Linked DNA regions of Saccharomyces cerevisiae S288C. The gene in region 2 interacts genetically with the main gene of each other region. Each region holds a gene or a part of one and is shown on either strand. Other genes may lie near its edges.

The links.
Region 1: mutations in VHT1 (region 2) and PSG1 together harm fitness more than expected from each alone (negative genetic interaction), as found in Saccharomyces cerevisiae (one large-scale study listed by BioGRID).
Region 3: mutations in VHT1 (region 2) and GID7 together harm fitness less than expected from each alone (positive genetic interaction), as found in Saccharomyces cerevisiae (one large-scale study listed by BioGRID).
Region 4: mutations in VHT1 (region 2) and EFM6 together harm fitness more than expected from each alone (negative genetic interaction), as found in Saccharomyces cerevisiae (one large-scale study listed by BioGRID).

Annotation. Positions count from the first base shown.
Region 1 is NC_001143.9:288,786-294,290, reverse strand, and holds PSG1 (Psg1p), read right to left. Parts: upstream 2,839-5,505; coding exon 1,660-2,838; downstream 1-1,659. Other genes in the region: AAN1 (Aan1p), read left to right, coding at 1-1,335; DHR2 (RNA helicase), read right to left, coding at 3,239-5,446. UniProt on the Saccharomyces cerevisiae protein: With EXP1, the specific cargo receptor protein for the plasma membrane ATPase PMA1, is involved in the transport and/or maturation of PMA1.
Region 2 is NC_001139.9:616,842-623,262, forward strand, and holds VHT1 (Vht1p), read right to left. Parts: upstream 3,018-6,421; coding exon 1,236-3,017; downstream 1-1,235. Other genes in the region: membrane insertase COX18, read right to left, coding at 1-437; transcription elongation factor SPT4, read right to left, coding at 675-983; GID10 (Gid10p), read right to left, coding at 4,080-4,958; YGR067C (uncharacterized protein), read right to left, coding at 5,531-6,421. UniProt on the Saccharomyces cerevisiae protein: Involved in uptake of biotin with the concomitant entry of protons.
Region 3 is NC_001135.5:50,367-56,895, reverse strand, and holds GID7 (glucose-induced degradation complex subunit GID7), read right to left. Parts: upstream 4,252-6,529; coding exon 2,014-4,251; downstream 1-2,013. Other genes in the region: ATG22 (Atg22p), read left to right, coding at 369-1,955; GLK1 (glucokinase), read right to left, coding at 4,556-6,058; YCL042W (uncharacterized protein), read right to left, coding at 5,953-6,312.
Region 4 is NC_001146.8:585,704-590,731, forward strand, and holds EFM6 (putative protein-lysine N-methyltransferase), read right to left. Parts: upstream 2,145-5,028; coding exon 1,404-2,144; downstream 1-1,403. Other genes in the region: KSH1 (Ksh1p), read right to left, coding at 899-1,117; FAP1 (Fap1p), read right to left, coding at 2,560-5,028. UniProt on the Saccharomyces cerevisiae protein: S-adenosyl-L-methionine-dependent protein-lysine N-methyltransferase that methylates elongation factor 1-alpha (TEF1 and TEF2) at 'Lys-390'.

The DNA.
Region 1 (5,505 bases), on a different chromosome or scaffold from region 2:
CCCAAGCAAGCGGCCAACGAGCCATCGTTAAAGGACTGTACCTGTAAAAGATGTCTTAAATTGGGTGCTTCAAAAGAAAAAAAGATTAGAAGAAAGAAGAAAGGTGAGGAGAAAAGAGAAAGACATTATGGAAATAGACGAAAGTTAACATTCAACTTTTTGAAGCATACGAACATGGAAAATACAAATTACGACGTAATCACTTCGGTTGGATATCTGAATGAAAAATACGGATTGAAAAAATCACATTACATTGAAAAATTTATCAAATGCATCCATAGAAAAATAAATATCGATGTTAGCAAAATTACGGACGCCTATGTAAACTCGCTAAACCCGTGGGTTAAAGTAAAACTCTTCCTTTTATTGGTGACATTGTCTGAAAAGGGTGGTCCGGAATACTGGCTAGATAAGACAGATGGTGAAAAGAACTCAGAGGCGTCTTCAACAGATAATAGTTTGGAAAATTCTACTAAAGGAGCAGATAGCGCTGGATCTACTGCTTTGAGAGATGAAATGGTCAAAAGCCATAAAAACCTTTTCCCAACTCTTACAGAGCAAATCATACAGCATAACATCAACCAAGATTTTACGGAATCGACTTACGACGAGGATTATGTATTTTCGTCAATTTGGGCAAACTTCATGGAAGGACTGATCAATCACTATTTGGAAAAAGTCATTGTACCTTACTCGGAAATGAAAGTCTGTCAGCAATTATACAAGCCTATGATGAAAATTATCTCCCTCTATAACGAATACAATGAGCTTATGGTCAAAAGCGAAAAGAACGGATTCTTGCCTTCTCTACAAGACTCCGAAAATGTCCAAGGTGATAAAGGCGAAAAAGAGAGCAAGGATGATGCCGTTAGCCAAGAAAGACTGGAAAGAGCGCAAAAGCTGTTATGGCAAGCTCGAGAAGATATTCCAAAAACAATTAGCAAAGAATTAACGTTGTTATCAGAAATGTATTCTACATTATCTGCTGATGAGCAAGATTACGAATTAGATGAATTTGTTTGTTGCGCAGAGGAGTACATTGAATTGGAATACCTACCTGCCCTTGTAGATGTCTTGTTTGCTAATTGTGGCACGAACAACTTCTGGAAAATTATGTTGGTGTTGGAACCCTTTTTCTACTACATTGAAGACGTCGGCGGAGATGATGATGAAGATGAAGATAATGTGGACAATAGCGAGGGCGACGAAGAAAGCTTACTTAGCAGGAATGTGGAAGGAGATGATAATGTGGTTGAGCGTCATTTTAAGCCTGATCCAAGGGTCATTACACTGGAAAAAATATGTGAAGTTGCTGCAAGACAGAAATGGATATAAGGAGAAATCAAAGGAAAAGAAGCAAGATCCAGCGTTTTCTTTTGAACCCTGGAGGATGCTGATGCATTCTCTATTTATTTGGTATCAAATTGTCGTACAGATGATTTATATATGTTAATATTGTTCAGTTTACACTAATTTTAATTTACCGTATTTACTATCCAAAGGAGAAAAAAAGAAGTATATGGACTTCAGTATTTATACAATATCGAGTTAAGATAAGTTAAGTAACAAAAAAAACTGGATAGAGTGGTTTTCTATTAGTGTGACGGAAGATAAAAACAGCCCTCTCGAGGAAGGGTGAATGCATACTTCGAAGGGAATCTAATTTTGTTTACTGGTTTTCTTATAAGATGGCAATTCGGTGTACTTGTGATTTTTCATGTTTTTGAATTTCTTCATCTCCGAGAACTTACCCAAAACACGGCGTTTCTTGTTTAAAGCTTTTCTAGTAACATCTGTGAAATCTCTGTTTTTCCCGTTGACATATAAGAAAAAGTACATGAAGACGAAAAATACCACCACGACAGTAGGGATAGATAATGCAACATAATACCACTGATCATTTGTTATACCTGCATCGTCTAAAGCCAGTTGCTCCTTAGTAGGCTTAAACACTTTTGAACCCTTAGTGATGTATAATAAAATACCGTATTGTAGTGGATCGAAATCTTCATCTGATATGTATATTGGCTGAACTGATACAACGATCCTACGATCAAATTGGTCCTGCAGCCATTCATCTCTGACCTCAACCGGCATTAGACCGTTGTCATTATCAATCCATTCGGAAGAGAAAAAAGTTGCAGGGATATCTCTTTTATAATTGCCCTTCTCTACGGGGTTTTCTTTAACATAGGACAAATGAACACGAACCTTATCAGCAACTTTACCGGAATTCTCATCTGTAAAAAATCTTGTATACCAAGTAACGAAGTAAGTCTTGTCAACCTTCCATCTAGAATTCTCATAAGGGGTACAAAATGGCTCACTGCGGATATCCTTTGCTAGACCTTTATTGAAGTAAAGATTAGGAGTACATCTGACAATAGGATTCAGGGAGACGTAGGTGTCATCTTCATCAATATACTCTTCTTCTACAAAAACTTCATTAGGGCCCATATTGTGAGCCTTCAATTCTTCATAAGAATATGTGTGGGAACTTACCGTTTTGAAGTAAGTTGAGTAATCAGGTCTTCCCTTCTTGGTTCGACCTTTGTTGATTTCTGGTTTAATGGTTTTTGGCCTACCATCATGCTCTAAAGATACCCAAGGTTTCAATGGATTTGGTGTTTCTTCTGGTTTTTCAGAAAAAGTGACACCGGCAATGACCGTAGGAGTGACTAATTCTTTTTGACTTCCATAAACCGTACGTAACCAAGGTTTAACTTCTTCTGAAGTAGTCATTTTCTCCTTTGGACGAACGACTTGTCTTGCACCATGAACATGTTGATAAAGCGATGCCAAAGAAAAGAAGATAAGTATACTATCGTGAAATCTCATTATTCCGCAATTCCTTCAGATCCCGCAGAACTGCTTCCGACTATATTGTCTTAACCTTTTTGCTAAAATATTTTGTTCTTCAAAAGTAAAGAATAGCTTGCTGAGAGAAATGCGTCGAATTGCCTTTCTTATTTTTTTCATGATCTTTTATTCCTTTTCAAAATGTCAACGGCAAAATAATATAATTTCGCCCTTTTCCCGAGATAATTTCACAAAAAAAGCCAACGAACAATTCGAAAGGCGTTTAACATGAATATACATATATACCTGTGTATATTCATAAGATATTGAGAAATGAATCCATGAAACTCATACTGCAGTAGTTGTTACGATTTATAATGCTCTATAAATTACATTAAATGCCTTTATATACAATAAAAATGCGCTAAGAGTAGGTGACTTATTTTGAATCAGAAACTTTTTGCTTTGCTACAGCGGCTGCATTAGTGACAACTTCTTGTAACCATGAAAGTTCAATCCTACTAACATTTCTGGCATATCCCTTCGTAGTAAAGACATACTCCGTGTACATTATACCGGGGCAGCTTTTATTCATAAATAGCATAGATGATGGATGAATGCTTATCGGCTCTCCAGTGGAAACAGTTCTATAAGACCTGTCTGGCATCCCTATAGCTGTATTCTTGATAAACCCAGTTAAGAAACACTTTAAAATTTTCGAAATTAGCTCGCCATCTTCACCAATCTTTTTGGATTCTTCATCCTCTTCACTGATTGAAGAAAACAAACGCTTACAATAAACTCTTAACTGGTCTCTGACACGAATTACATTTTTAAACCCACGTATCGAAATACACAATCCTTTACACCAATCATTTCTTTCAGAGCTTGCATCTTGACTTTTCCCTAGTTCGTAGAAATAGATATCAAAAAGCTCTTTCAGCATGATAAGGTCACCATACCTTTTACCAGCGTTGCATAAGGACAAACGACGCTCGTTCACCTCATCTCTTTCTTCTGGTGACGGATTCAACAGTAAATTTTCCACACTAAGGCAAGAGACGATATCAATGACCTGACTCAAACATCCGACTTCACTGGCTTTAATTAAGACACTACTTAAATGCGGTTGTAGCGGTAACAGAGCCATTTGTTGACCCCGTTTAGTTATCTTTCCACGAGTGTCAAGAGCACCCAATTCATAAAGTTCCTGAAGCCCCATTACTATAGCTTCCTTTCCAGGGTTCTCAAACCAGGTCCAGTTTAGCAGGTCATCAACACCATATCTCTTCAACATTAACACAGGAGATGTGACGTCACTTCTGGCTATTTCAGGTTCACTTTGTTTAGGTAATTTCACATAATCAGACTCACAATAAAGCCTGAAACTCTTTCCTTCACTTTCTCTACCAGCACGACCACTTCTCTGCATCGCACTTGCCTGAGAAATGGGTACGGTAAGTAGAGTGGCTAATCCCAGCTGATGTCTCCAAACTTTGACTTTTCGAAGACCAGAATCAACGACAAATTTAACACCGGATATGGTAACAGATGTTTCTGCAATATTGGTACTAAAGACGACTTTTCTCTTGAAACCCTTTATCGGAGCGAAGACCAAGGACTGTTGGACCGCGGGAAGAGCTGCATATAAAGGATAAGGAACTATTAATGGTACTGGGGCCTCATCTGAAACATACTTTGCAATTTTCTCCATTATAGTCACTGCTTTGTCAATCTCTTCTTGGCCCGGTAAAAAACATAAGATATCTCCCAGTTCTTCACCTTGGTTTATTTGTATACAACACCTGATGACAGCGTCTACTATATCATCTGTTGGCGCCTTCAAGTAGTATTGTTTGACATCAAATTTTCTTCCTTCTACAAATAAGATTGGGGCATTATTGAAGAACTCACTAAATTTTTCGGCTTGCAATGTTGCAGACATAACAATTATTCTCAAATCAGGTCTTGGCCCTTGTATCAAGGATTTTAAGAACCCCAATATCAAATCTGTAAGCACAGTTCTTTCATGCGCTTCATCGATAACGATGACGCTGTATTCTCTAAGGTCACTATTCATCATAAGTTCTCTAAGTAACATACCGTCAGTCAGATACTTAAGTCTTGTTCTTGTAGTAGTCGTATTGTCAAATCTGACAGAATAACCTACTTGTTCACCCAGTTTGCAACCATGTTCTTGAGCAACACGTGTAGCCAAATTGATGGCCGCAACACGACGGGGTTGAGTTACAGCAATCGACCCATGCTTCTTCGTATCATATAATTTTTCTAATACGAATTGCGGAATTTGTGTTGATTTACCAGAACCTGTTTCACCAATAAGGACGGTAACGGGATTGCTTTCAATATATGACATTATTTCTCGCTTGTGTTGGTAAACGGGAAGTGTTTCTCTCATTTTGAGTAAATCGCTTGCCCGACTTTTCAAAGATTTATAAGTAAGGACATTTTCCTTGTTCGAACGTTGGTCTGAAACATGGTCGCCCTCGCCTGAATCATTAAACTTTACGATTTTACTAGCTCTTTTAATCCGAGTGTTATTCGTGAATGGATGTATATTCCTCCTAACCTTTTGTTTTTTAGAAGTATGGTTTGATGCAACTCTACTATTGCTATTTGCTGCCATGATAATGTCTGCAGACTCTTGCAACCTCTTCTTGAGGAATTCTTACATATATATCATAA
Region 2 (6,421 bases):
TTCACTGCCAATAGTGTAATTTGTTCTGGTGTCAAAACGCCAGCATTCTGTAGTTGTAACGGCATGAAAGAACCGTTGGAGCTAATTCTGGCGGCATTTCTAGACTTTTTATTAGTAACGGCTGCCAGTCGAAGTTTAATAATGGGCGTTATTGGCTGTACTAATTTCCTCAGTTCTTGTTGTTTCAAAATTCTCCTCCGCTGCCATATACTGAATGGCAGCGTCACGAGGGTTCTAAGGGTCATAGTAGTCAAAGGAACAAGCACTATCCATGGTATATGTGAGGCTTCATGCACTGTTAAAAACGTGTCCGCTACACTTTGAAAAAGTGAAAAGCTTCTCTTTGTACTTGGATTAGTCCTACCATATCGCAGACCGACTGAGCTGCACGAGAATGACGCAAAACCATTTTGACGATTGGCTAACCTCTTTAACATAATGCCATACTTTATCTTGAAATTTTCCTATCCTTGGACCTTTTTTTTCTAATGAAAGTCTTTTTAGCCTTAGTTGAATTACTGGACGGTAGAAAAATTGGGTTTGCCAGCAAAAACAAAAGTGCAGAACGTTAAATAAATGAAAGCATAAACTCATATGCTAGAATATTTACTAAAAAAAAAAAAAAGTAAAAAAAATTCATTACTATTATACATGTGATATCAGAACGGAAGGTTTTACTCAACTTGACTGCCATCCCTCGGTTTGTAGTGAGGCAACAGCTCCACAACCTCAGCTGGTAGTCTACCATCGACCTTGATGGCGTACATACCAGCTATACTATGATCTACGCTCAGCCACTTTGCTACCCACGACTTAGTAGGCTTACACATTCCTACGAGGCCCTCGAAAGAAGGCGACGTACATTCCATTGTAGAAACACCTGCCTCTTCAAAAATACCCTGACAGTTGGGACAACCATCTCTATTAAACTCATTTGTGGTCTGCACTATGCCACACAGCATACAGGCTCTTTCACTAGACATCTCTTACACTGTACCTCGTTCGCTTTTGCCAAACTGAATGTGGCCAGGTGTAATTATTACACAGTACATCCTTCGAGCCCTTTCTTAAATTTCACTTTTTCACTCGATTTCACTCATAGAACGTATAAGGTGACCTTTATCAACATCGAGATTAATTATAGATAGAAGATGATTAAATTATATACATGAATATATTTATTTGAGGTATGGTGTCTAAAGCGTAATATACCTATCTACTTCACGTAAATTGGACTACGAGGACCGCTTTAAATAGTAGTAACCATCTCTTTCCTCCATATTTTTCTTTACAAATTCTGGAAGCTCTTCACCCTTATTACTATCATACAAGATGATACCATTACCTAGAGCATGTTTCTTTTCGTTTCTCTTGTAAAAAAAAAGTACAACAAACGTCCATAAACCGTAAATAGCACCAAAAATTAAGCTCACGGTGTAACCAGTCTTAAAACGTGGTGACTCCACGGTAGGCCACGCCAAGGTAGGAATCCAGGCGTAAGTGGATTGAGAGAAGGAATAAATGGCGATCCATGTAATAGCCTTCACCTGAGGATCAAACCTTAAGAAGTCATTAATAAACGACCATAGACAAGGCGATGCGGCCACACTGAAATACGTGGTGAAGAAAGCGTACCATTTAGCTTTCGAAGGAATATCCCACTTGATAAGTAAGGCACAAGAAACGGTATTCATTATAGCAGCAAAAACCATGAATATCCACTTACATCTAAATAAATCGGCACCAAAGGCACAAAAAATCACATACGCAAATCCTAAACATGCGGGTATAACACTCAGGTTGTTCACTTGGGCAATGGAGTACTTTGTATTAGACTTTAACCACAAAGTATATGAACCACTATACGCAGTCATGTTATTCCACGAACATGTATCAAAAACAACAAGTACCCAGAATGCTGGAGTACAAAATACTTTCTTCCAAAGTTTTCTGCTCCATAATGGGGCTAGCTTACTTTTATCAACACCATCTTTGATTTGGTTCCTCTTATTTCTGGCCCTTGCAATTCGTATTTCTTCGTCAGTCAGAAATAAAGAGTAACACTTAGATGGTACACCGGGAATAACAAAAAAACCAATAATAGCCGTGGGAAGAGAAATTGCAATGGCATCGATCAGAAACATCCATCTCCAGCCTGCTAGACCATGGACGCCGTTCAAACTTTTGAATATGCGACTTTGCAGAAGTCCTGAAGTCACGGAACCCAATTGTTGCCCACAAAAGAATAAACAGACTCTTGAATTAATTTCATCTGGGGCATACCAACAACCTAGTATATATTGGGACACTGGGTAGTAAGCAGCGCCAAAGGCACTTAAAATAAATCTGTAAGCCCTTAGTTCGGCTAGTGAGTTTGCCCTATAACATGCAAATGTGAACCAAGTCCAGCCCAAGTCCATTACAGGCAAAATAATATGAGAGGGAAATCTTGGTAACAAATACATAAATGGTAATTGGAAGACAATGGCACCAACATTAGCAATAGTAGAAGTGTAAACGTAATCATTACCTTTCATGTTTAAATCTTCCTTCATATTGGAAACATATGCGTTAGTGTAGTTATTCAAATCCACTGACTTGGACCAACATAACATAAAAAAGTATAAAGCAATAATAATGTCTAGCTTGTAAAGAAGCCGTCTTTCAGCCTTGGTTTGAGTAGTATGATTAGGATACAAAAACTCGTACCACTTACGTGATTTCTTGTATTCCTTATTAACACGATACTCGAATTCATCAAAATATTTCCACCATTTACGCCCAGCTTCATCTCTCACTTCATATGGCAAGTCATGCCTTAAATTGTGAGGATGAGGTTCTACAGCTGTAGTTTCTGCCGTAACGTCTGTCTTCGAGGACTTATCTACGCTATGATGTAGCTCCTCTTCAGCTATGATACTGGAGTTAGTATCGTCTGAGTATAAGTACTGATCATCTTCGGGTAGTTTTCTCAAATGTGGGAAGTAGCTCCTCCACGATTTATTCGAAATTGTCATTATCTATTGATTTGTGTCGGTCCTTTTTTGAAAATTGAAACAAATGAAAAGGCGATTGCTCGTGGGTGTAGAGCCTTTATATATAGTTATGTTATAGCCGTAAGAGTCATGCAGATTTTTGGGAATGGCTATCATCAAACTTAGCCTTGCATCTCATATTTCGACTTTTTTTTTCATTTCACACATTTTTTTTTCCTTTCACAGTTGGGTGAAAGAGTCTCGGAGGCGGTACGGCGCTTTCTGTGTAAATCATCCTAAAGTGATTCATAATCTCAGAGCCATTTCGGGTGAACTAATGATGATTTTCTAGTAGACTACGGCAGTATCTTAGCTGACGCAATTGTAGCAATGGAGGCAATCATGTTAGTAAAGGACATTTTAGTTGTAGGAGCATAGGATCGACAGGCCATGTGAAAGGCGTACTAGCAAAGATTGAAGTAATGAGAATAATTGACGATGATTTTAATTTGAGCTTTTCAATGCAGCCGAATTCAGCAGTAGTTGCAGAACCGGACTAACACTTGAAAAAATCCCACGAGCCAGCTGCCGTCTAAGGATATTGTAATAAAGTTGGGCTTAAACTAAAGTTTTTATATCTTGGTTGTAAGGTTGTAATCATTCGTCTCAAGAAGAACGTTGAGTAATCATTAGTCCTCCGCATAAGTAGGTTGCCAATAACTTGTTCAGCAATGATGGTTGCAGCATATCCTCGCTAACGTTTTACTTACCAAATATTTTTTGCTGGTGATTAAGAAAGCTTCTACCATAAGAACACTATGTCAATTTAAAGCAATAATGTTTTCCTGAGTGTTCTTGAGCCTCTGTAAACGAATCATCAATTCAAGTATTTTTATTTTATTGCAAGGATATCGCCAACTAATTATTAACCGGCACTAATGATAGAAATGTTTTTATTTCGAACTACAAAAAGGGCATACATGACGTGGATATATGTAAAGGGTTACTAGTTTACTTATTGATGTAATATCAAGAACAATGTGCTTTTAAAAGAGACATGGTTGACGAGTAAACAAACATACATTGGTAATTCTATAAGGGTCTTTAGGCAATTTCAAATCCACTTGAGTAGGTGTTCAATGCGTCGCAGTTGGTTGGAACGAGTTCGAGTTTTTGAAACAATTCACAAGCGGGATGATAGTAGTAGCCTTCCACTGAACCTGTTAGCTGGTCTAAACACACATAGTAAAATCCCTCAAATGACGCGCCTTCCAGATGATGATTATCGTCCAACATCAGATTTTCTTGTTCCTCATCATCAAGTAGGAACCTTTCCTTCCATTTAAGATAAATATATCGTTGATTCATAAATTCTGCACTTTCATGATTATACTGACCAAAATTTCTTTCCGTTAACGACCAGTTATCAGAACCAAAATGACCAAACCTCTTCCAATGAGAGCAATCACTTTCTCTCTGAGCCATATAAGGGTCGAGCGTCTCCTCAGCGGGCCAATGCAGTGAACATAACGGGAATTGGTTATAATTGATGACATACCCTTCAAAAAGGGTAACAACTTTATCTAGGACTGGTGTTAAATTTTTAATAGTGAAAGTACCTGTGACATGCGGGTCCAAAGAACGCGAATCCTTGTAAAGTGGCAAGTTTACGGTATCAATCTTCACTTCCACCGTATAATACGTGTACTTTGACGATTGCGAACCGCCAAATCTCAATCCTGGCCTCAAAAAATCTAAATGTCTACCAAGGGATCTGTAGGTATATTTAGCATTCTTACCCACTAAATTGGTCCCTTCCTCGTAAACATCACAGTCCTCTTCTTTTGCTTTGAAGTGAGGCAAACGTGTATCAGTTGAGGAGGGTAGAGAGACATAGGCCGAAGTATATATTTCTTCAATGTTGTCATTTCTTTTGGCCCTTTCTAGAATAAACTTTCTTCCCATGATATTCAGTGATGTCATACCTACAGTATATTTTAAATGAAAAGTCTCATAACACAATACGAAAGGATAAAGATAACTCGTCGATGGCCATCATGATTGCCCTTTTTATATGTTTTTATCAAATATTAAACTAAACAACATATACAATTACATCATTTTTCCCTACTTTCTTTTTCTGTAATGGTTCATCGAAGCATTTTTAAGGGTGCCCTGAAGACTATTGTTAAAAAAAGGTACCGCATACATTCGAACCATTACCAGAAAAAAGAGGGGTGAAAAGACATTCTAAATTTTGTTATCGAATGTGAACAGAACACTTAAGAAAACGCCAAGGTTAAGAAGGCCTTGAGAGTATTGATTAAGGCGCATGGAGCACAGGTAAACGCGAAAGACGTTTTGTACTTCCTTTTACTGAGCACCTCTTACATGTAGTAGTAACCATCGCAGCGGAATAAGCACACAAAAAATGGTATTTACTTTTAGGCAAACTTGTGGGAAGTATTAAAATTATTATGTAGATTTATGTATATCGTTTGTGGTTGTATTAAACTTTAATGTTATTAGTGTTGTTAACAACATTTCTTTGGCCATTATTTTATTTGGCTAAAAATTTCAATGTTTTTACTTTGTTTATTGTCAGTTGAAGAAGCTGAGAATTCTTGTGATTCCATGTTTACCTGGGGTGGGACCACTATTGTTTGGACTAAATTGATATTGTTTCCTGTTGCCCTTAACAATGGTTGTTCCTTCTCTTGTTGCTTAGGGGCCGAGTTCACGTAGGTGTAATTACTCGTTGAGATAGGTTCAATGGCTTTTATATCTAATGGGGGCAGGAGAATCTTATTACAGTTTGAATCTCTCTTTAGGAAATTAGGAGAGAGTGGCAAACATGATGCTACTGAAAACGATTTCATATCAGAAGCACCAGATAAAGAACCTCTTGAAGTCTTGCGAAACGGCTGTTGAAGAGCAAAACAAGACCAATTAGAGATATCAGTCAACAATGCTTTCGTCTGGTCATTCAGGTGAGGGGAGTAGATTAAGTATGGGTAAAGAATATTATCTCTTAATGAAGATACAATAGCATGCAGTAGTATATGGTAAGCAATGAAGGAATCTGACCAAAAATCGAACAAAATGGAGTGTAAGTCTGTCACCAAGTTCTTTTGGTGTGTTATAATGTAGTCATTCACAAACACTTCAACCTTCTCAAATTCCTCTTTCTCTGTTGATGAAAGGTAGCTCTGACGTTGTACATAAATGGTATCGAACCAGAAATATAACATTAGGTGAACATTGGGGTTTACTAGTAATTGAGATACTTGTGATGGTGAAACATCCGAGCTTGCAATTAACTCCGATGAAAACAATTTTAGTTGGAAGCTGACAATGTCGGTAATTAACTGAATATTCCTTGGGTTTAAAGATGCCAGCGTGAAAGACTTCAAATTAAGAAGCATTGATATGATTGATAAGTTCGT
Region 3 (6,529 bases), on a different chromosome or scaffold from region 2:
AAAATGCCTATTTTACTCTAAGCAATTCATATGTAAAAAATTTTATGTATAGTTTTTTTTTTCTCTTTTGTGCTGTCAAATTCCTTTTTATTGTCATCTAAGACCATGCTTTAGCTTCTGTCATGTATAATGCAACGTGTCTTAGATTATTAATTGTTGTATTGTGCGGCATTGATAGCGCCGCTCAACAATTTTAGGAAATTGCTAAAATTAATTCCTTAAAACGGTATTTTCCTAAACGAAAATACCTCAGCTATTGAAAGATGCGTAGTGTAAACAAAAGGAAAGATTTCAAACTGTACCTATATTACCACGGTTTTTGCCCTTATAAGCAATAGTTTGCTCATAACATATTCTCTACATTAGATATGAGCTATGGAACTATAAATGATATGAATGAATCGGTAACGAACTATCGAATAAAAAAAGCCCAAAACAATATCAAGGGATGGTACGCTTACTCATTTTCTAGCGAACCATTTGTCGTTTCTGCGGTTTCAACGTATATTCCCTTACTACTGCAGCAATTTGCGAGTATAAATGGTGTAAAAGTTCACGATCACTCCATACCCTGCCTGTCAGAAACGGGTAGTGATTCAGATAAGTGTGTTCTTGGTTTGTTCAACAATCGGATCTTCGTAGATACTTCAAGTTTTGCATTATATGTCTTTTCCCTTAGCGTTTTATTCCAAACTATAATAGTCATTTCCGTTTCAGGGATAGTAGATCTCTGGGGGAGCGTTAAATTCAAAGGCAGAATTCTGGTTTGGTTTGGTATTGTGGGCGCATTGTCGACTGTTGCGATTTCAAAATTGAATGATACCCAGATTTATTCTCTGGCTGGGCTTTATATAGTGGCCAATGGTTGTTTTGGCGTTATCAATGTTGTTGGGAATTCTCTTCTGCCCATTTTTGTCAAGGATTCTTTGAAATGTCAAAGTCAAGGAGCTTATGAACCTGATAAGGTAGACTCGTTAACTACTGTTATTAGCGGTAGAGGTGCATCTTTAGGTTATTCAAGTGCCCTCATTGTTCAGATTGTATCTATGTTCTTAGTCGCATCTAAAAAGGGCAGTAAGCAGGATGTTCAAGTGGCTGTTCTTTTCGTTGGGATTTGGTGGTTTGTGTGGCAACTGCCCATGATCTGGTTGATTGACGATGTGACAATACCGATAAGAGTTGACGATTCTACATTAGCATCCGCCCGCAGTCCGTATCCCGGTGAGCAAGACGCCTTGGGTCAACTAAACTGGAAGAATTACCTTTCATATGGTTGGGTTTCGCTTTTCGAATCGTTTAAACATGCCAGACTATTGAAAGATGTGATGATTTTTCTTATTGCGTGGTTTATTATTAGTGATTCCATTACAACTATAAATTCTACAGCGGTTTTGTTCTCCAAGGCAGAACTGCACATGAGTACCCTCAATTTAATCATGATAAGTGTTTTGACCGTTGTAAATGCAATGCTGGGTGCCTTTATGATTCCACAATTTCTTGCCACAAAGTTTCGGTGGACTTCTAGTCAAACTTTGATGTACATTATCATTTGGGCAAGTTTCATACCATTTTATGGTATTCTTGGATTTTTCTTCAATGCGTTCGGTTTAAAGCATAAGTTTGAAATGTTCTTATTGGCCATTTGGTATGGATTATCACTAGGTGGCCTGTCCGCGGTTTCAAGATCAGTTTTCAGTTTGATTGTACCTCCAGGAAAAGAATCCACGTTTTTTAGTATGTTCAGTATCACAGATAAGGGGTCGTCCATCCTGGGACCCTTCCTTGTTGGACTGCTTACCGATAAAACGCATAATATTCGCTATTCGTTTTATTTCTTCTTTTTGCTTTTGATGCTATCATTGCCTGTGCTAAACTGTTTGGATGTCAAGAGAGGTAGAAGAGAGGCTGAAGAACTCAGTCAAGTTTTACCTGAAAGTGAAAGAAGGTTGGATTAGTTCTTTTTTTTTTTTTGTTACATAAAACTTTGCTTACGTATATATATAAGGTGGAGTATTAATTTCTTGAAATTTTCCAGATTTTTATCTTACCGTCATCACCGCCAGAAGCAAACATTTCTTTATCTGCAGGGTTTGATGCAACTACGTTACAATTTTTCCCCATGGGTTTTGTGGAATTACTCATTACCGTGGAATGACCGGATAAAACAGATACTAGGTTACCTCTAATTCTATCCCAAATGTAAATTTTACCATCTTCTGATCCGCTCATGACAAGCTTATTACCGTAGGCGAAGCAAGATCTGATAATAAAGTGCTGTTGCTTCTGTCCAAAGTACTTTTGTATGAGAATATTTTCTTTATAGTCCCACATTTGTAATTCGTTATCTTGAAGGCTAACTAATACCAAATGTTGAGACTCGGATATTTGTTGCCTATGGAAGCCTTGATGCGTGGTATTTAGCGGTAATGAGATACAAGTCATGTTTTTGCCCACGTCCAATCTTGCGATCCTTGGAATCAGAAAGTTTTTGGGATCCACTGTTTGCTTAGATAGCTCCTCTTTGGAGGGGAACCCACTGAAATCGTAGACATCTATAACGCCCTGGTGGGTCATTAAAAGCACGTATTTATCGTCATAGCTGATTTTCACGTCGTGCACACGTGGAAAGGTTTCGTCGTCCTCCACATATTGCCAGTTACCATTGCTACTTGTTGGTTTGTAAAGGACTTTTGCAGGATCGATTGATTTTCTCCCAGAGATGTTTTCATCGTGGCCCAACGCGATACAAGTCCTGCCTTTTAAGCTAAAAAGTGACTCTTTCGTGGTGAGTGAGTGTACAATAGCTTCTCTGTCGGGCGATCCAACCACCATCCAGCCCGCACGTTCCGCAGTGTGGAAGGCATCGCAGCACCATACTCTTGATTGATTAGAATTCGCGTTTGCCGGCCTCGAGGAAGATGATGCTGATGATTCGGTATCATCTGGGTACGTGGTGGTGTCCAGTTTAAACGAGTCCATGGGCGAGAGCCTGGTAGAAGGGTATAGTAGGAACGAGTCTGTGGCAGACGCATCGGGCAGGGAGGTGGCATTCATGTCGTAAATGGTAACATCTTCGCTGAAAGGGCAAGCAACCAGATACCGGCTATCAGGAGAAAACATGAGGTACAATACGGATTGTGACAAGCTCACGCAAGTCTTATAAATTTTGAAGTCTTGTTCCACATCATAAACAGTAATGAAGTAGCCTCTTGAAGACTCGGAAGTCGCAGAAGCCAAATACTTGCCATTGGGCGAAAATGTCAAAAACCAAATTTCGTCTGTGGTGTCTTGGATAGTCTTCCATTCTTGAAAGGTCACAGTCAGATCGTGTGAGAAGTTATCCTGCAAAAGGTTGATCCGGTGGGGTGGAGAGGAGAAAGAGGCGTCATCATCCGGATCGATGATATTAAAAATGTCTTGTGATTGTTGATACTTGATGGCCTGTTTCAAGAGATGCAAGAGACGACCCTTGGGAACGAGTTCGTTCGGATCGATATATTTGGAGATGGCGTCAATCAGATGGTCTCGCTCGAGGTTCAACTGCGCGGTTAGTTTTGGGTTGGTCAGGTACGTCGACAGTTCTCTCAAGGTCGTTTCCGGATTGAAGATGTTTTCTTCATTTAGGAACTGATCGTTAGACACCAGCAGGGAATCCCATATCTCGATGAAGTTTTTGAGGATTTTGCGCAAATACAGGACGGGCAGTGCAGTGTGAGGGCCCTTGTGAGAGGCGGAATTTGTGACTGGATGGAAGAATTCGAGGAATATTTGTCTATTAACTAGAATCATGATCTCTACGTAATTTCTGAGCGTGGCGATCTCTGCGTCCGAACAAGTAGATGAATTTACAGAGCTCATCAGCTGTTGCAGGTATTGCAGTTGCAGGAGCATGTGGTCGAAAAGTGAAGTCGTGGCGGGCGTCGGCGTGGGAATGAGCAGCCTTTGAAGCCATTCGGACCTTAGCGGAGAGCTATGGGCAAGGGGCAGCGAGCAAACAATCTGCCAATTAATAAGATGGAATTGGCCGGTCTTGATGAGTTTGAAGAAAGTCTGGATGTGGTTAGACTCATTTTGATATCCGCCGCTCTCTAGCAGTAACTGGTTAGCGGCGGAGTCGTAGCCCAGCTCCTTTAGAGTATGTATCAGTAATTTAGTGAGCTGTTTCTTGTCAAAACAACCAACGGAAGAGGGCGAGGCTGTTTCCTCCGTGTCATTGTTCAACACGTATGCGATCTTATTAGTGTGTGACATTTTATTAGTTGAAGTAGTACGCCCCCTTGGAAGTGTTTTTCATATTTGACTTCCAAAAATGATAAAGGAAGACCTAGCAAGGCATTTATTGTTCTTCATTTTCCCTTAAAAACCAAAGGCCCGTTTCCGATGATATTGTTCATTAATGTGAGAAAATCATACATACATACATACGTTCTTATACGGTATTGTATAAGAATGTATGTATATACACTGAAAATATACATATATATATATATATATAAAGGAGAGAAGATGGTAAGTACGGTGGGATACGTACACAAACCAAAAAAATGTAAAAAGATCATGCTACAAGCGCACACAAGGCGGCACCCACTCCGGAACCATCCTTGGCAATCTTCAAGTGCACCTTCCTCTCACCCTCGGCACCCAAGGGTGACAAGGCTAAGGCGTGTCTCAGCATAGATCTGAAACCGGGGTAGTATTCCACAACGGAACCATCACAACCGATCTCGACTTCACCATGATATCTCTTGTTCAAAGCATTTGTCTTGATCAATATCGCGGCAAGCGGCACGGCGGCTAAATACGCAGATCTCCTAGAAATCGCGCGCACCAATTTTTGAATTTGAACACGCTCTGTTGGAGTGGTGGGCAGTCTGAGACTCTGTAATAATGACAACTCTGTTTCACGTAGACCTGTCGAGTCGTCAATTTCAATATGCGACAGCACTTCGGATGACAACTGGAAAGGTGTAGTCAAGTGGCGAGGAAGTTGTTCCTTGGACCTGTACTGTTGCAAAAGCAAGCCTTGCGAGTGCAAGTCCACTAAAATGTTACGCAACACCTCACCCAAGAACATCCCTGAGACACGTTTTTCAAACAAGTGAAATCCCGGGTTCGTTGACAGTTTCTGGTCAATTACGACGTCATACTTAGTAGTAGGCAAGTGCTTGAGCTCATTATCGAAGGACCCCCATTCGACATTGATGATCATGTGTGTCTTACCCTCCTTTATCAACTTGTCACGCAACTCCTGTGGCAACTTCGTGATCTTGTTGATCTCCTCCATATAGCACCCATTGGTACCGGTACCGAAAATACATCCGATGACCGGCTCCGAGATTTCTCCGGACGTCATTGAGTCCGTGTTATCGGACGTGTAGCAATGCGATAGGTACGTTCCGACGGTGTCGTTGGTTAATGCAACAACCTTGATCATAGGCATACCCTGAGCGCTTAATTGCTCCTGGTACAATTGCACGACATCCTTTCCGACGGTGTCCGCGATGCGGAAACCCTTGGTCCAACGGATCAATGTCCCGGAGTTTAGAGAGGTCTGGTCTACAGGGTATGAGAAAGTGAACCCCAGTTTCATGGGCTTGGCGTCTTTACCCTTGGCCAACTCGTCCGGGTGATACTTCTTCATAAAGGCCAGTGTACGACGTGCTAGAAACCCAAACAGGTCGTCAGATGTGACGTTCTCATCGTCTAGCAAATCATCGGGAATCTTGGACTTCATTTGCTCCATGGAGAAAGTATGATCTCCATGCAAGTTAACAGAACATATACGGAAATTGGTACCACCCAGGTCGGCGGCTAGTAAAACACCGCGCTCCGTCCCGTTGGGTGACCCGGTGACGAACGCCGGAATCATAGGAAGACCTTTGTCCGAGGCCAATGTGTGGCCTTCCTTTGGTGGAGCTAGACCTTTTTCCATTTGTTCGATGAAGTAAGCAGTTAATTCGTCCAGCTTCTCGGGGGTAACCTCGAAATCGTCGCAGATCTGGTCCACGGCCTGGATGACCGCTCTCTCAGTGGCTTTGTGTAAGTCGTCGAATGACATCTTGTGTATGATAGAGTTGTATTAGTGGTGGTGTTGTGGTTTACGGAAGCTGAGTTGGGCACTGATGGGGGGGTTGGGGGTTCTGTTGATAGCGGATATTTATATGGGCGCGTTTTCATTAGTGCCCACCGTTTGAGCGTGGTGTGACACCACGCCCAAGATAGGGGGCCCCCTGAAAGGGGTTGACCGTCCGTCGGCACACCACTTATAATGCGGGGTGCAAGCGCCGCGTCTAAAATTTTTTTTTTTTCCATTTTTGTCGTTATTGTTATTTCCCGTTTTTTGTTTTTTTTGATTTTTTCGGAGCGACAAACCTTTCGAAACACGTGTCCTGAAAATTATCCTGGGCTGCACGTGATAATATGTTACCCTGTCGGGCGGCGCCTCTTTTTCCCTTTTCTCTCACTAGTCTCTTTTTCCAATTTGCCACCGTGTAGCATTTTGTTGTGCTGTTACAACCACAACAAAACG
Region 4 (5,028 bases), on a different chromosome or scaffold from region 2:
ATGAGATTTAAAAATTTTAAATTGTTTAAATCAACTCATTAAGGAGGATGCCCTTGGGTATTCTGCTTCTTGACCTGGTACCTCTATTGCAGGGTACTGGTGTTTTCTTCGGTACTGGATTCCGTTTGTATGGAATCTAAACCATAGTTATGACGATTGCTCTTTCCCGTGCTGGATCGAGTAACCCAATGGAGCTTACTATTCTTGGTCCATGGATTCACCCCTTTTTATTTTTTTAACAGTTTGTTGTTTACACTACTTTTTAGCAGTGTAAAACTTTTGCATAGTTAAATATGCCGAACTGATCTAATAAAAAGTCTGAATAACTCAGATGAGTTATTTATTGGTAAACTTGTGTAAGAAGAAGATGGAATAGTGAATAATTCATCAAATGATGAAATACCAATGCAACAGAGTCAAGCTCTGAGTTTCAAAAAGAAACATGGACGAGATTGCTTTTTTATTACTGACCATGATTATTCATTACTTACCATTGTTCCTCATTCTATATAATTGATTGGGCACCACGTAAATTCTTGAGCCTTTTCGGTAGTATTCAATCGCAATATGGGGTAGTTTACGGAAGTGCTGTAAATGATGTCTAAAATGAACAACTATGCGTCCTTATTGTGACAATGAATTCCCTTCTTAAATCTCTATAGAGGTCGAATAGATGAATACTCAACACAAAACACTATAAAATAAAAAAAAATACAAAAGTGTTTATATTTTTGCTGTGCGTGCTAGCTCATAGCACCCTTACTTGTACGCTATCAGACGATAGAATTAAAGAGACACTTCGTCTGAATCCACTTATACTCTTTGTTTTAAAAGGTACTGCACCTTCTATGACCTTGATTTGCGTAACTTTAAATCCATATGACTAAGTATCTTCCAATCAGCTGTTAAATTGACTGATGGCCATCAAAATACATGCTAAACTAACATATGGACTGGCCCTTTCACCAACACGTGCCATTTTCCAGAAGGCCCCCAAAACCTCATGATTTTTGTAACGATCTAGGAGAGACGGCCACTGCCCATGAACATAAGAACATGAACAAATCAGTAACAATATCACTTGCAGAAGAGAACGAAAATTAAATAATGCAGACATATTCTGTCGTGGAAAAAGGACGCAACTTTGCAAAGTAAATCGATCCGGCTCTCTAGTTATTTTGCAAACGATGTTTACCGCTGTTCTGTCTTTATCCTTGAGTTGTCGTTGCTCACTCTATTGAAGATCAAAATTTCGCTCAAGAAGAGCAGTCCCACCATGCGTACACCACACTACAAAAATGAATGTTATATCGTTTTTTCATGAATTACAAATGTCTATCGAAAAGTTCATTACTAAATATAATAAGATCAGGATCATTAAGAGATAAATTCACTGTGTCAGGTTACTTCCTGATAAGCTGAAACAAGTGGGTTCTTTCCTTAAGATAATGTTCAAATTTACTAAAATCTGTAATTTCAAGAACGTCAAAATTTCTTTTAATCTTGTTGAAAAAATGTTTATCAGCTTTTCTTCTCTTCTTGTAAGCCATCAAGATTACAGGTGGGTTTATGCAGTGAGTGAGATCAAGTAGTGTTTTTTCTAGTAATGGAAAAGCTTCCTCGAGATACACACAATCAGCTGCCAAAACTAGATCAACGTTATTTGCTTGCATAGCACCTTCTTGAGGTGAGAAATCTGCCGACAGCGGCTCACCCCACCAAAGTTCCCTCGCAAGAACTTCATACTGAACTTCGTCCAGTTCTATATTTCTTTTCAATAGTGGTATCAACTTGTCAATGTCCGTAACATATACTTTAGTGCCATCGTGGAATGTGTTTTTTTCCAACAACCCCACGCACAATCCAACTAAACCTGTACCACTACCCAATTCTAAGACTTTTTTAAATTGTTTCGTACCATTGACCGTCTTACTTAGCAGATGGTCAACTGATTTCTCGAGTATGTACTCGCACAACAGTTCGCCAGCGATCCAGACTTTACCGCCACAACCACTTTCACCGCCATCTTCACAAATTTTCAATGCAGGCAATAATTTTCCACCGAAGGAAAGGTCTGTTTGACCGAGATGCTCCTTTGGCCTAGGAACAACTAGATCTCCAAACCCACCAAATATACTCTCCATACTCAATACCTCACTAGTCGCGTTTTTATAACGTTCTAGGGAAAATTATGGGCCATTTTTTTACATAGAGCCTGCTCATCATAACTTTTGAATTATTTAAATACGAAGAATTACTTTCAGTGTTTGGGTGTGAGGGACTTTTCGTTTGGTCAAGCCAAAAAAGCTTAAGAGAAAAGAAAAATCTCTTCTGGTTTTACTTGACTAGGTTTCCAAATTATAATATCCGTATTATTAACGTGACACTCAGTATTCTCCATTCGTTTACGGGAACGTTGATATGTAAACATATGCAGATCCTCGTATTTTAGCAACGACAGGGAGAAACAAGAAATGAGATAGGATGAAAAAAAATAAAAGTTAGATATTTCTATTTAATTAGAATTCCGCGTAATAAATAATGACACGCTATTATAGTTCATGTATTATTATCCATTACAGGACTATCCTCTTGAATTACGGGCGTATCCAACCTTCTTTCAAGTTCTTCTTCAGTTGAACACAACGAAATGGAATCGGCCAAAAATGCCTCTTTGGCCATAAAATCGAAGTGTCCAACCAAAAGCTCCATGTCACGTTCGGTATTCACGGATGCTGTTTCGTAATTTTCAGGATACACTAGTGCTGTTTTGCCATCATCAAGGATTAGGTATTGAGGATTCACTACTAACGTATGCTTGAGATGTGGTTCAAAAAATCTCCTTAGATCTTCGGCAGTATTTCCAGCAACCAAATTTTGAACCAAAAAACCATTTTTCTTAGCCACCTCTACTTTAGGTTCCGTATCTTGAACCTCGAAGTTGATTAGTTTAGCTGTGGTGCGAGCTTGAAATTCTTGTGCTTTCCTTTCCTTCTGCAATTGTTTAAATGATTCATATAGTGGGTAAGCTTCTGCTAATGATAAGACTGGTTTATTGCTTGCGCCATTATCTTCTTTCTTAATAAATACAGATCTCATGGGCTCTCTGTCCTGAGACTCGGAATATAGGCCGTAAGCTTTGGCTAGTTCACGGATGAAGTGGCGTTGAGGAGGCCTCATAGGTTTGAAATGCAAGCTTGAACGTGTTTTATCGTCCATTAATTTATTAAGAATAGCTTCAATTTGTGAACACCATCTTTCTTGCTTTGAATATACTGATAATGCTGCCTCTGTAAACGGTAACTGCAGTTCTTCAAATGTTGTAGCAACAGAGACCAGTTTTTTTAACGCATCTAGTTCATTACTTGTAAAATTATTGGTTTCTTCCTTAATTCCAAATGCCTCCTTCAATTCCTTTAGTCGTTTCAAAGCTTCACATTCTTCATTGCAATCCAGCACGGAAGATTCAGTTACACTTACTCTATCACTTTTTGCGCCACAAGTAACACTTTTTTTGATCCTTCCACATTTACAATAAATTTTCACTAGCGTGGCACAAGGTAAATCGGGACACTCTGTCTTACCATGGCACGGTTTAGGACATTCATGATTACAATTGAGCCTTTTTTGCCCACAGGTCTGTTTACACACCTTTTGGCAATTTCCTGGTAAATGACATGTTTTTTGGCAGGTATGATAACAGTAAGAGAGTGGTATCCCACATTTTATTCCACATGATACGTCTGTTTGAAAACAAACCGTTCTCACTTTAGTTTTCTTCCCACATTTACAAGGTTTAAATACGGTTTCCGTACATGGCGGGCACGACACATCCAAGGAATGACAGGTATGTGGCATTGGTTTATGACCACACGTAGATTCGCCACGCACAACTTTAATACATGGATGATTACATGTAGGTAGCTTCGTGCCACAACGCACGGGTGCAGGAACAACTGTATTGCCACATGGGCAGACCAGATCGTTCGAATCACTCTCTAAACAGGGCGGACACTTTCCTGGGTGACATTTTCTCTGACATTTATGAATTCCACATGATAGGGTCAAGTTACACGGTTTTAGGCAGATATGTTTTGCTTCCACAAGAGACTCATCCAACAAATCTTGCGTTCTGAACAAGTTTTTCTTCCTTCTTATCGCCGATGGCCTACCACTGCAGCACCTATCGGTGCATCTATGTCTACGGCATGACATCAGGGATTCGCATTTAATATTGCAGCGAGGCCTTCCTTGAAATCCACATGGAACTGAAAATGTACTTTGCTCACAAGCACATTTTACACTATCAATTTGCAAGCAGGGTTCCATACAGGCTTTATCATGACAAGTGAAGGGGCACGAATGTTTGCCACATTTTAGTGGTTTACCGCATCTTGAGTCGCAGGTTGGTATCGGATCATCACAATGCTTACGAGGCTTAGTCAGTTCCTCTAGGGCTGTCCGGCCACAGGGACAAGTTTTCAAAGAGCTAGGCAAAAATGGGCATGCCTTTTCTCCATTAATTGTGGGTGGGCTTATGCAAGATTCTATGAATGAATGCTTGCGACATGAGTAGTCGACAACTCTATTATCTGCACAGGCAAACACGCCTATCCACCTGTTCCCATTTTCATCCTTCGACGACTTACCGGACTTGGGAAACTTTGTTTCACTACACTTTATGTTAGCACGAGTGTGGTTACCACAGTAGCATTTTATTTGCTTTTTCGGACTATCTTTACTAATTATCATTTCTGGACATGGCCCACATAAGCCAGGGTGGCATTTCTTTTTACAGGTGTGGATGGAGCAAGATAAAGGCAATCCACATACTTCTTGACAGTTGAAGTTTTTTTTCATAACTTTAGACTGGTAACAAAAGATACTTTTCGAATGCTTACCACAGTGGCACATAATCTCGACCATTCTAGTACACTCTGGATGCGGCCCTAGATGACAAATTTTGGAACAACCATGCATACAAGTAGAAGCATTGCAGGTTTGTCCACATGAGTTAGGATCCAGCGG